3 linked regions of the Lonchura striata genome follow. The protein of the gene in region 1 interacts with the protein of each later gene in a pairwise test. Links are inferred from orthologs where the notes say so. Each region holds a gene or a part of one and is shown in the gene's direction. Other genes may lie near its edges. The genes, in order: PRKAR1A, AKAP19 and AKAP10.

What was found.
Region 2: the proteins of PRKAR1A (region 1) and AKAP19 interact in binary tests that used the Homo sapiens proteins (3 or more experiments, as listed by UniProt). The two-hybrid records come from large-scale screens. The link is inferred for Lonchura striata from reciprocal best matches to the Homo sapiens genes PRKAR1A and AKAP19.
Region 3: the proteins of PRKAR1A (region 1) and AKAP10 interact in a two-hybrid assay, tested with the Homo sapiens proteins (3 studies listed by BioGRID and IntAct). The link is inferred for Lonchura striata from reciprocal best matches to the Homo sapiens genes PRKAR1A and AKAP10.

The regions. Positions count from the first base shown.
Region 1 is NC_134621.1:9,548,939-9,552,684, forward strand, and holds the start of PRKAR1A (cAMP-dependent protein kinase type I-alpha regulatory subunit), read left to right. Parts: upstream 1-1,265; 5' UTR 1,266-1,365; intron 1,366-2,280; 5' UTR 2,281-2,344; intron 2,345-3,746. UniProt on the Homo sapiens protein: Regulatory subunit of the cAMP-dependent protein kinases involved in cAMP signaling in cells.
Region 2 is NC_134610.1:30,738,198-30,741,943, reverse strand, and holds the start of AKAP19 (small membrane A-kinase anchor protein), read left to right. Parts: upstream 1-936; 5' UTR 937-1,003; intron 1,004-3,746.
Region 3 is NC_134622.1:8,540,643-8,544,388, forward strand, and holds the start of AKAP10 (A-kinase anchor protein 10, mitochondrial), read left to right. Parts: upstream 1-1,048; coding exon 1,049-1,211; intron 1,212-1,243; exon of another isoform or gene 1,244-3,746. UniProt on the Homo sapiens protein: Differentially targeted protein that binds to type I and II regulatory subunits of protein kinase A and anchors them to the mitochondria or the plasma membrane.

The DNA.
Region 1 (3,746 bases):
TCCTTTATTTCTTTAATATAAGAGCTAATAAACAAGAAACCCCTCAGCAGGTAGTTCCTGATGGCTTGTGTGTCACTGCACAAACAGCACAAACTTCTTATACCATAATATACATTAAACTGTTGCTGTTGAGAGTAATTTTCACTGTACTTTACGTGATTGCTGGCTGAAATGATGTAACATTAGAGTAAAAAGTTATGTTCTGCGTTGCAAGACCAGCAAATGCACAGTTCAGGGCTCATTTTTAGGGATTATTTCTCCTTCCTAAACCCAGAGATGGGCTATGCCTGTGCCAGCACAGTCCAGATATAAAAATCATTTAAATGATTTCTTACAGCTTGGAAGAGACAAAGTGAATGGAGTCAAAGGGCTCATCTCAGCTATAAAGACACATGGAATAATTTGTACACGGATTTACATTGATTATAGTGAAATCTTTGCCAAACTTGAGTATCGTTTATTTCCCTCAACCTATAACAATCTCTGATCTTTGAAGCGGGTCCTTTCCAGGAGAGTCGGTGTGGAGTTGATGCCCTGGCGGATCCCACTGCCCTCAGGGGATCCCTCTCCTCCCGACCATTCCTGCTCCCCTCAGAGGATCCCTCTCAGGGTTTCCCACTCCTCTCTGCCATTCCTTTTCACCTCAGGGTATCCCTCTCCCCTCAGCCATTCCCTCTCCTCAGCCATTCCCGTTTCCCTCAGGATATCCCTCTCCTCTCAGCCATTCCCGCTCCCCTCAGGGTATCCCTCTCCCCTCAACCATTCCCGCTCCCCTCAGGGTATCCCTCTCCCCTCAGCCATTCCCTCTCCCCTCAGCCATTCCCTCTCCCCTCAGGGTATCCCTCTCCCCTCAGCCATTCCCGCTCCCCTCAGCCATTCCCGCTCCCCTCAGCCATTCCCTCTCTCCTCAGGGTATCCCTCTCCCCTCAGCCATTCCCTCTCCCCTCAGCCATTCCCGCTCCCCTCAGCCATTCCCTCTCCCCTCAGCCATTCCCGCTCCCCTCAGGGTATCCCTCTCCCCTCAGCCATTCCCTCTCCCCTCAGGGTATCCCTCCCCCCTCAGCCATTCCCGCTCCCCTCAGGGTATCCCGCGCCCCTCAGCGGACCCCACACCCCACCCCGTTCCCGCCAGCCCCGCGCCCTTAAAGCTGCAAAGCTCCTCCCGCGCCGCTCCCCGGCCTGTGCCCGCGCCGCGCCCGCCGTTGCCCCTTTAAGGTTACCGCGGCGACGGGCCCGGGCGAGAGCGAGGCGCATTGACGTCAGGGCGGGCGGGGCCCGTCCGGCCGGTCGGTTTCCGGTGCCGCCGCTGCAGCGAGGCCGCGGCCGGGCCGGGACGGGCGGGGGGTCCCGGCGGAGCCGCCGCAGGTGAGCGGGGCGGGGGCAGCGGCCGGGCGGCCCCGGGGCGGCGGCGGGGCCGGGGCGCTACGAGAGCCGGGCGGGACGGGCGCGGAGCGGGAGGCTGCGGCCTTGGGGCGGGGCCGGCCCGGCGCGGCGGAGGGAGCGGAGCCGGGGCCGCGGCTCTGCGGGTGCCGTGGGGGCAGCGGCGCCTTCTCGGGCCAGTGTCCGAGGGGCCCCCGCGGGCTGTGGGGCCGGGCCCCGCGGCGCTCCCGGGCCTTTGTGCCGGCTGTGCCCCGCGGCCCCGTCCCCGCCCCGGGGGTACCGGGTCGGTGCCTGCCGGGTCTGGAGCGGCCGCAGCCCCGCGCCGCGTGAGGGACGGGCTGGGCTGGGCTGGGAGGGGCAGCCACGCCTTGGGGAGCTCGGGGAAGCTTTGGGGACGTGCAGAAAGAACGGCTTGTAGGAATAAATCCCGGAGTTTTCATTTTGTCCGTGATGCTGCATTTCCTGCACCGCTCCTGCCCTCCTGGCGTGGCCGTGGCCGCTCACGGAGCCACCGGGCTCGGTTCATTAGCGCTGACCTTCACCGGGCGGGCTGGCCAAACAAAAGGAGTCGCTGGAGAACTTCTCGTGGCTTTCTCAGCCCGTGGGAAGGCCACGCTTTGTGTTTATGCAACGCACAGTACACGTGTGTGTGTGTGTGTCCTTGAGCAGGGATTAAGCGTGACAATCACGACACCTGCGTGAAGTGTTGGTAATTCCATATTAAATCCAAGCCTTCTGTAATCTCCAGCAGCAGAATTCAGAGGGGCACGTTGTTTTGTTGTCTCTGTGCCCTGGGTTTTCCTGCTGCTTCCTCCGCAGGATAAAACCCATGATGTGACTTCAGTGACTTGTCATTTCTCAAAATTCTTTTGACTGAATTCATTTTTTCCCTTTCAAAAGCTGATCCCGGGATCAACATATCTTACTGCATATAAATAAGCTGTTGCCACACTCCCTGTAGCAGGTAACTTTCTTTATATTTCATCCAAAAATGCCCTGAGAAATTCTTTCCTGTTTCTTTAACTCTCCCAGTGTCAATTTTCTTATGAAAAAAATGATGTGAAATGTGTGTCTATATACATGTACACGTAAAAAAATATATCTTAAAATGGTTTTATAACCCTGTGGTGGGCCAAGCCAGGCTAGATGCTAAGCACCCACCAAAACTGCTCCATCACTACCCTCTTCAACTCAACAACAGAAGGAAAATATAAGGACAGGCTCCTGGACTGAGATAAGGGAGAGATCACTTACCACTTGCCATTGTGGGCAAAACAGACTCTACTCAGGGAAATTGATAATAAATTAAACTAACTAAATTGTAGTAGGATAATGAGAAATAAAGCTAAATCGTACAAACATCTTCCTGGCCCTCTCCCTTCTCTCCAGCTTTAACTTTACTCCTGATGTTCTCTGCCTTGCCTCACCTCAGAGGATGAGAATTGCAGTCAGTTCCTTACATGTTGTCTCTGCTGCTCCATCCTGCACACCTTCCCCCTGGGAGACAGTCCTCCATGGACTTCTCCAGTGTGAGTCCTTCCTGCAGGCTACTCTCCAGCCTGGTTTCCCTTCCATGGTCACAACTCCTGCCAGAAAACCATCCCAGGATAGGATTCCTGTGGGATCACACTCTGCATTCCCCTGCTCCAGTGTGGGGTCCTCCAGGGGCTGCAGATGGATCTCTGCTCCCTCTTTGGGTCTCCAGGGGCTGTCAGTGGATCTCTGCTCCCCCATGGATCTCCAGGAGCTGTGGGTGGGTCTCTGCTCCCCCATGGATCTCCAGGGGCTGTCAGTGGATCTCTGCTCCCCCATGGATCTCCAGGGGCTGTGGGTGGGTCTCTGCTCCCCCGTGGATCTCCAGGGGCTGTGGGTGAATCTGCTCCCCTGTGGATCTCCAGGGCACAGCTGCCTCACCATGGTCTGTATCACGGGCTGCCAGGGAATCCATGCTCCAGGGCCTGCAGCACCTCCTGCACTGACCCTGGGGACTGCAGGGCTGTTTTTCCCATTTATTGCCACTCACCTGTCTGGCTGAAGTAGCCATTTCTCCTCCCTCCTTAAGTACCTTGTCCCAGAGGCTCTGCCACTGTCACTGATGGGCCCAGCCTCGACCAGTGGCAGTTTCATGTTGGAGCTGTCTGGCATTGGCTCTGTTGGACATGGAGGAAGCAGCCAGCAGCTTCTCACAGACCCCCCCCTGTACCCCGTGCTACCAAAATCTGGAAGTAGAAACCCAGTACAAACTTGAAAGGGGAGAAAAATCTGCTTAAGAATATATTTCAAAGTATCATAGCTGAAGTCTTTCGAAAACCTGGCATCATAACAGATGTTTAAAGCTGTACTCTTCATTATTTACAGTTGAAGAG
Region 2 (3,746 bases), on another chromosome or scaffold:
AATATTTCTGAAGCTGCTATACTGCCTTATTTAAAAAAAAAAAGTGAATTAGACTTGGTATTTATTATATCTATTTATATTTTCCAGCCCTGGTGCTGCTGTGGTGATTTAACACGTGGCTGCTGTGGGCACCACAGCAGGAGCCATCATGCAGAAAGGTTTTTTAGGGAAAACAACTCTAGTTCTTGCTATGGCCTCGAGATCAGCCAGTGTGGACAGGGGAGCAGGCTGCACTCCTCTGGCAGAGCAGCCCCAGTCGGGCTCACTGCAATCTCCCCCTGCTGGAAGAAATTCCCCTCTTCTCGAAAACTGTCACCTCAGTCAAAATTAATACTCAATTTCTTGTTTGCCTCTCAATTCCTTGGGTGTTTTTGCTCTGTGGTTACTCAGAGACACTGACCTCACTCCTTTTGGAGAGGCCCAGGGAGTCAGCGCCACTGTCCATTCCAGGACACAAAACCTGGAAAGCCCCAAGAGCAAAAATTTCATTTTAAAGATTTCTAAAATTGCCCAAATAGATTTCCATTAAAAATTTTCTAATAACTTCCGTATTAATTACACAAATTGAAACAAAAGCATCTAACAACTATTACATTCAGTTGGATAAACATTTGTGCTGTGTAGAAATTTGTAATTTATTTTACCCCCCTTCTTGATTATCTCAAAAGTTTCCCAGTCTAAATCATTCTGTGATTCTGGTTTCTTCGTTTTTACTTTGATGCTAAGTATAGGTTTTTCTATGGGAGAAAAATATACCCACATATTCCATCTCATTTTTTTTTGAGCAGAGTGCCTTTATAGTGTAACTTTGTCATAATTATCTTATTAGCACATTTTTAAGCATCTAGACAAATTCTGAGTAGATAATGTTGGGGTTTTTTCCCGGAAAATTTTGCAAATATGGTGACTTAAGCAGTTCTAAATATCTTTGCACAGGTGTTGCTGACTGGGTGAAGTGCAACTCAGCCCCTATAAAATGAAGTCCTGCAGGACACACTGAAGTGTAAGTATATGACTGAGCATGTTCTTCAAATTCTGCTGCTAAATTAGGTATTTTATCGTTAAAAAAACAACAACAACAACAACAAAAAACCCACCAAGTCCTTCCCCAAATGTCTCACTGTGATAATCACAAAGTGCTGGGGATTCTTTAATGGGTACAGAGTTCAGTGCACACACTGATTCTGTGTTTTCCTTTGCGTTACAGCAGTATATGCATATCCAGCTAACTCCAGAAGAAGTAAAACTAGTACAACATGTTAAACTTATTTTAAATATTCAGGATCTCTTCGTACAAGAAAGTGGAATTAGGCTTTGCATCTATATTCTACTGTATTCTAACTTCAGTGTAAAAGCTATCAAACCTTTTCCTGAGAGCAGGAGGATGGGATATTCCAAAAATAATCATGATCTAGAAATCAATGTTGTGCCCTAAGGTTTGGAGCAGCCGTGCAATCCCCACTCTCATGTACTTTTGGTAGTAACAGAGTTGAAAACTAGGGCAGCGCTGAGGAGCTTCCGTGGCATGTGCTTGGGAATCCTGCAATCATATTTGTCCTTAATTTTAATCAACCTAGTTGCAACCATCAAGGAAATATATTAAAAGAATAAAAGCTCTGAGAAAAGGCTTTGGTAAATCTCAGTTGTGCATTAGAATAGCAAGAGCAGATGAGGGTGGTGTATAATGAAAGAAGGATCAGGTAAAAGAAAGAAAAATCCATAGCTGAGAAAAGAACACCTTTCCCATGCACAAAGTTTTTGAAAATAGAACCTTTATTGAGACAGTGGTTCCTTAGTCTATAAAGCTGTGTTGAAGTGACCTTCTTTGCATCATGGGTTTGATTTTGAAACTCTACCAAAGTACTTACTAGAAGGTATTCACAGCATATCAGGTACAACTTCAAGGCTTTTGGATTATTAGGAGGTTTTGGTCAATAACAAAAATTTTCAGGGCTTTATAGTTCTTTAGACTTTATATTGATTCTTCCCAGACTGTGCAATATTTTCCATGTTTTCCAACCCATACAGTTATACATAGATTTGGTAAAGTCACCATGTGGCTGTGGGCATGCTGGGAGGAGCTCCTGGGGCAGAGTGCTTGTCATGGCTTCCCTTTAACTCTTCACCTGAATTAGAAATATGTGCCTCAGTGAAGCCCTTCCTAATTCCAGTGTCTGTTTGTATCACTAAAAAACTATTTGAGAAACAGAGCAAGTGTTTCAGCCACTGACCTCTGACTAGGGCTTGTGGTTGGATTTGGATAAATTCATGGAGTTTTGTAGCCCTTTTTTGAATGCCACATCAGTGGGTTGTCAGTGGATTCTCAAATGAACTTAAGCACTATTATGGAAAAAGGATTGTATTTTCTCTGCTTTCTGTTGGAAAGAATTTATTTATTCTGTTACCCTTGGACAAACTCATTAAAACTTTGCCATCTGGTGCAGAGGTTGTTAAGTGACAAATTGTAACCCAAAAGAAGTAGCTTAGCACAGCTGAACCATCCAGTCTGGGTACCATTCCAGTAGCTCCAATGCTAATACCATTCCCTGACTTCTGTGGTTCAGTTTGCACCAGTTTCCCTGTTGCAGGTGTATTGATGCTGCATCCACATCACTCTGGAGTGAACATGTGCACACAGAGCAGGGCATGCCAAGAATGTAGAGGGTTTGGGCTATATTACAGGAAGAACTAGCAAACTCCAATTAGCAAACTAATAAAAATTGCTAATAAAATAAATACCAAGTCTATGACAACAAAAACTTAAACTTACTTTAAAACAATTTCTTCTGGAGGAGAGAGTATCTTCCTTACCCCTACAGGAAAGTGCTTTCAGCCACTAAAATCTGGAGAAGGGTGCAAGAGAGCATTATCTGGCAAGTTGAGTTGCAGGAAAGGTTTTGATGCCTGTGCCCTCCCAAACCAGTCCATGCCCAGCAGGAGTTCCTGCACCCTGGCACAGTCAGGGACATTGAGGCCACATAGCCCCACTCCCTGGACAACTGCTGCACCTCTGAGGCCTCCGTGTTGGGGGCGGGGGCACCTCAGATTTGGGTATTGTGATTTTGAATATCACAGCACCCATGTCTGGCCCCAGCATTGCACACTGAAATGCTTTACAAGCTAAATATTTCATCAACTACCTAGCCTGTGCCTGGCTGTAGTAATTCAAATGGATTCTCTGCATTTAAAAACACTGACTGCTTTGCCTCAGCCCAGCATAATCAGCTGTCTTGCAAACTCCACAGCTAATAAAGTATTAAATCCATGTTGGCACCCAGAAATAAATATGGGCTCAAGATTCTCATCACATGTATCTCCCTCTCCTGAGCTCCCTGTCCCTGCCACATCACACTGAGGTGCTGCTGCTCAGGACAAGGTTTGTTGTTGGGTTGGTGGCACAGGAGATCAGCAGTGCTCCAGGACCAGACTATTATCTTTTGGGATGCAGTGATCCAGTCAGGCACCAGCTGTGCTTGCAGCTTGTGGAATGTCTGCCCCACGGCACCAAGTTGCTCAGTGGGAGCTGCATTCGTTTAAAAGCTGAAGATAAAAGTAGAAACTTGCATTAGAAACCAGGCTAGAATAATAAAGAGCACAGTAGCCATAAGCCTATACAAAGATATTTATAATTTAGTTACAAAATTCTTATTTAAAAATAGGATATAGTTTAAAAATCACTTTTGTAGTAATACCACTGTGTTAATGCAAGGCAACCATGCCTTTCTGGCACTTCATCTTGCTTTAAT
Region 3 (3,746 bases), on another chromosome or scaffold:
TGTCCTTGCCCTCGGGCTCTCTGTCCCTCTACCCTCGGGCTCTCTGTCCCTTGCCCTCGGGCTCTCTGTCCCTCTACCCTCGGGCTCTCTATCCCTTGCCCTCGGGCTCTCTGTCCCTGCCCTCGGGCTCTCTGTCCTTGCCCTCGGGCTCTCTGTCCCTGCCCTCAGACTCTCTGTCCCTGCCCTCGGACTCTCTGTCCTTGCCCTCGGGCTCTGTCCCTGCCCTCGGGCTCTCTGTCCCTTGCCCTCGGGCTCTCTGTCCCTTGCCCTCGGGCTCTCTGTCCCTTGCCCTCGGGCTCTCTGTCCTTGCCCTCGGGCTCTCTGTCCCTCTACCCTCGGGCTCTCTGTCCCTGCCCTCGGGCTCTCTGTCCCTGCCCTCGGGCTCTCTGTCCCTTGCCCTCGGGCTCTGTCCCTTGCCCTCGGGCTCTCTGTCCCTGCCCTCGGGCTCTCTGTCCTTGCCCTCGGGCTCTGTCCCTCTACCCTCGGGCTCTCTGTCCCTTGCCCTCGGGCTCTCTGTCCTTGCCCTCGGGCTCTGTCCCTGCCCTCGGGATCTCTGTCCCTGTCCTCGGGCTCTGTGTCCCTTGTCCTCGGGCTCTCTGTCCCTGCCCGCGGGCCGCGCCCGAGCTGCCGCAGCGTCCCCGGGTCACCCGTGCCCTCAGCCAAGATGGCGGCTGGCGCCTCACGCCGCCCGGCGCCCCCCGCCCCGATCAAAGATGGCCGCCCCGCCGCCCTGGACCCCAGCGGGCTTCTTGCCCTCACCCAACATGGCGGCCCCGCCCGGCCCCCGTTGTGCGGTGGGTGTGAAGCCGGGGCCGCCATGTTGAGTGCGGCCGCATCCCGCCGTGCCGCGCGGGCGGCGCTGCCGGAAGCGGGCGCGGGGCCGGTGTTGACAACATGGCGGCCGCGGGCGCCGCCGCGGGAGGAAGAGGCGGAGGGAGCGGCGGCGGCGGGCGGGCGCGGCTGCCTCATTCATAGGGCCCGGCGCGCTGCCTTCCCCCCCTCCCGCCTCCCCCCGCCCCGCCGCCGCCTCGCCCCCCTCCCCGGCGCTATGTCCTTCTTCAGGCGGAAAGGTAGGGCAGCGGCGGCGGGCGGGCGGCCGCCGGGCTCGTCCCCTGCGCGGCCGCCGGGCCCCGGCCCTGCCCCGCCGGGCATCGCCACCGGGCCCCGCGAGGACGCGCGGGCCCTGAGGAGCGGCCTCCCCGCCGATGACGGTCAGTGCCTGCGTCCTCGGGGGGCTCGGGGCTCTCCGGTGAGCGGCCGCGGCCCCGGCTGCCCGCGGCTCCGCCAGCGGCTGTGGCACCTCCCGCGCTCGGAGCCCTTTGCAGATGCGTTTTGCACAGGGCTGGCACGGCCGGCTTTGTGACAGTGAGAATGGGCTGAGAATGTACAGCAGGAGCTGAAGGTGTCGGTGGAAAAGGGACCTCGTCGCGCTGAGCCCAAGGAGTGCTCGGCAGTTCGTTCTGCAGTAGGAGCTGGGAAATTCAGGGCTGCTGAAATATTTGTAACGCCCCAGCAGCACGAATGGGAGCAGTTTAAGTGTTCTCTGCGTTTTGAAGGCGCTTTGTGCCCGTGCTGCAGGCAGGGCCAGAGCTCTCAAGCCGCCCAGCTGTGGTTTGGGTGGTTTTTGTTGCAAGTGGCACCTTTTAGGAAGGGCCCCTTGGGACAGTTCTGTTTCCTCGTGGTGCTGTAGCTCGAGCACTGATCTTCTGATGCAGCGCTGTCCTAAAGTCTTTCTGTGTTTCTGAACCCAAAATGCACATGCTGGGAGGCAAGGACGTGGTACCTGGGGTGATGGTGATGCTCTTGGCTCTCACATCCTCTGGATCTCACTCAGCCAAAGCAGCAGCACTGAAAATGTCACTCTGGGGAGGTTAGTGCAGCAGTTGTGCGAGAAATGAGTCTAAACGTAGCAGATCTGAAGAGTAGAAGCCATTGAGGGCTTTGCAATCCTTTTTGGGGTGTTTATATACAAATACTGGGCTGCAGAATAAAACTTTGATAGTGGTTATAAACTCTTCAAAAAGAGCTCCTGCTGCTTCATTGAGAATTGTGGAGCTGAGGTTCCCTCCTGACGCGGGATCACAGGGACAAGGTCAGCTTGTGTGGAAACCTTCTCAGGGAGAAAGCCATGAAAGCTCTGATTATCTGAGAAGTGTAATTGAGGATCTGTATTCCTTTGATTAAAGGATCTTTGGTCAGAAAGGCAAATCAGCACTAAATGCAGAGACGCTGTGAAGGAGAGGAGAAAAGCAACCTTTCATCTGGGCTGTGCATAAAACACTGCTTGGTGTGATTCCGTTTTTAGGTGTGGCTTTTAGACAAGATTTGAACTGAAGCTGTGAGGGAAGCAGCACATTTAGGCTTAGGATAAAACTCTGGCCACGTGCAGGCCAAAATCCTACAAACACCAATGTTCCTGGGGTGAGCTGTGGTTGTTTAAGAGGATATTGCAGTGGGTAGAAATTAAGACTAATTTTAAATTAAACCATAGCAAGAATCATAAAGCTTGTAGAAAAATCAAATATCAGGGTGAAGTGTTTTTATAGCTTGGGCCTCAAAATAAAGGTCTGGCAGACTGAGGGTGGATAATGGGTTGAGAAATCAAAATATAACAGGTGAGCTGGGCGCTTGAGGGCAGTTATGAAACTGCTGCCAGTGGACCAGCTCATCCCTGGGATATCTTGGGAATAACGTGCAGTCCCACAGCCTGGCTGACCTCAGCAGGATCTCGTTGTTTTCTGTGTGCTGTTGACACACTGTGAACACTTTTTGAGTTTGTTGAGAGCATTTCAGGATGTGAATTGCAACTCTGGAATGTCATGTGCTGCTTTGGCACCCTTTGGAAGGGGATTGGCCACTGGAAATCTCTCCCTCAGTCCCCATTCTGTGGTTCCTTCTGGTTTCACACAGGCACCGCACAGCATCCGCTTTTTGGGGGAAGTGAAAGTGAGTTCATGTGGTGCAACTTCACTCTCTGAAATTCGGGCTTGTCCTGGATCAGAGCTGATTTTGTCCCCTCCTGTTACTGATGGCACCTGGTCGTGCTCAGAGCTGCTGGGGACAGGAGCAGCCTGTGTGGAAAGGGTTGGGACACGACCCTGGAGTTTGTATTTCCAGTAGTAAGTAGGTATTTAGGGAGGAAAGAAGGAACAGAGGTATTTAAACTGAAAATAGGCTTATGGAGGGCTGTTGTGTGAAACCCAGGACTTGCTGCTGATAGCTAGGAACCGGTTTGATGAAATACTGGAGTGATTTGGGAAGGATGAGAGTTCATAGAGGTTGCTTGCTTCCCTCTGGTTTCTCTCCAGTTATGTAAAGGCTGGTTTCCCTCGTGCTGCATCAGGCTGCAGGTCAGCGTGGAGGGAATCCTCCTCTTGTAATGCACACTTCAACCCCTCTGTCACACAGTGAGCTCCCTGGCAGCTGCAATTTTCGACCCCGAGTTGCAGATTTGCAGCCCTGCAGCGTTTGTGCTCGCCGGGGAGGCTGGCAGGCAGCGCTGCAGCCACCGGGCCAGGGCAGTTATGTAACCGGAGCTCTCCTGTAAAATATTTAACATCCTTAGGTGGGGATAGGAAGGCTTCGCTTGGGGTGGTGTTTTGGATGTGTTTTGTGATGTAAATGTGGGATTGTGCTGGGCTGTGCACTGAGGAAGGGCTCCTCAGTGGGTGTTCAGGAATGACCTATTTGTAGTAATAATCCTTGCCTGGAGCAGCCTCCCTGGTAGATCACATTCTCCAGTATCC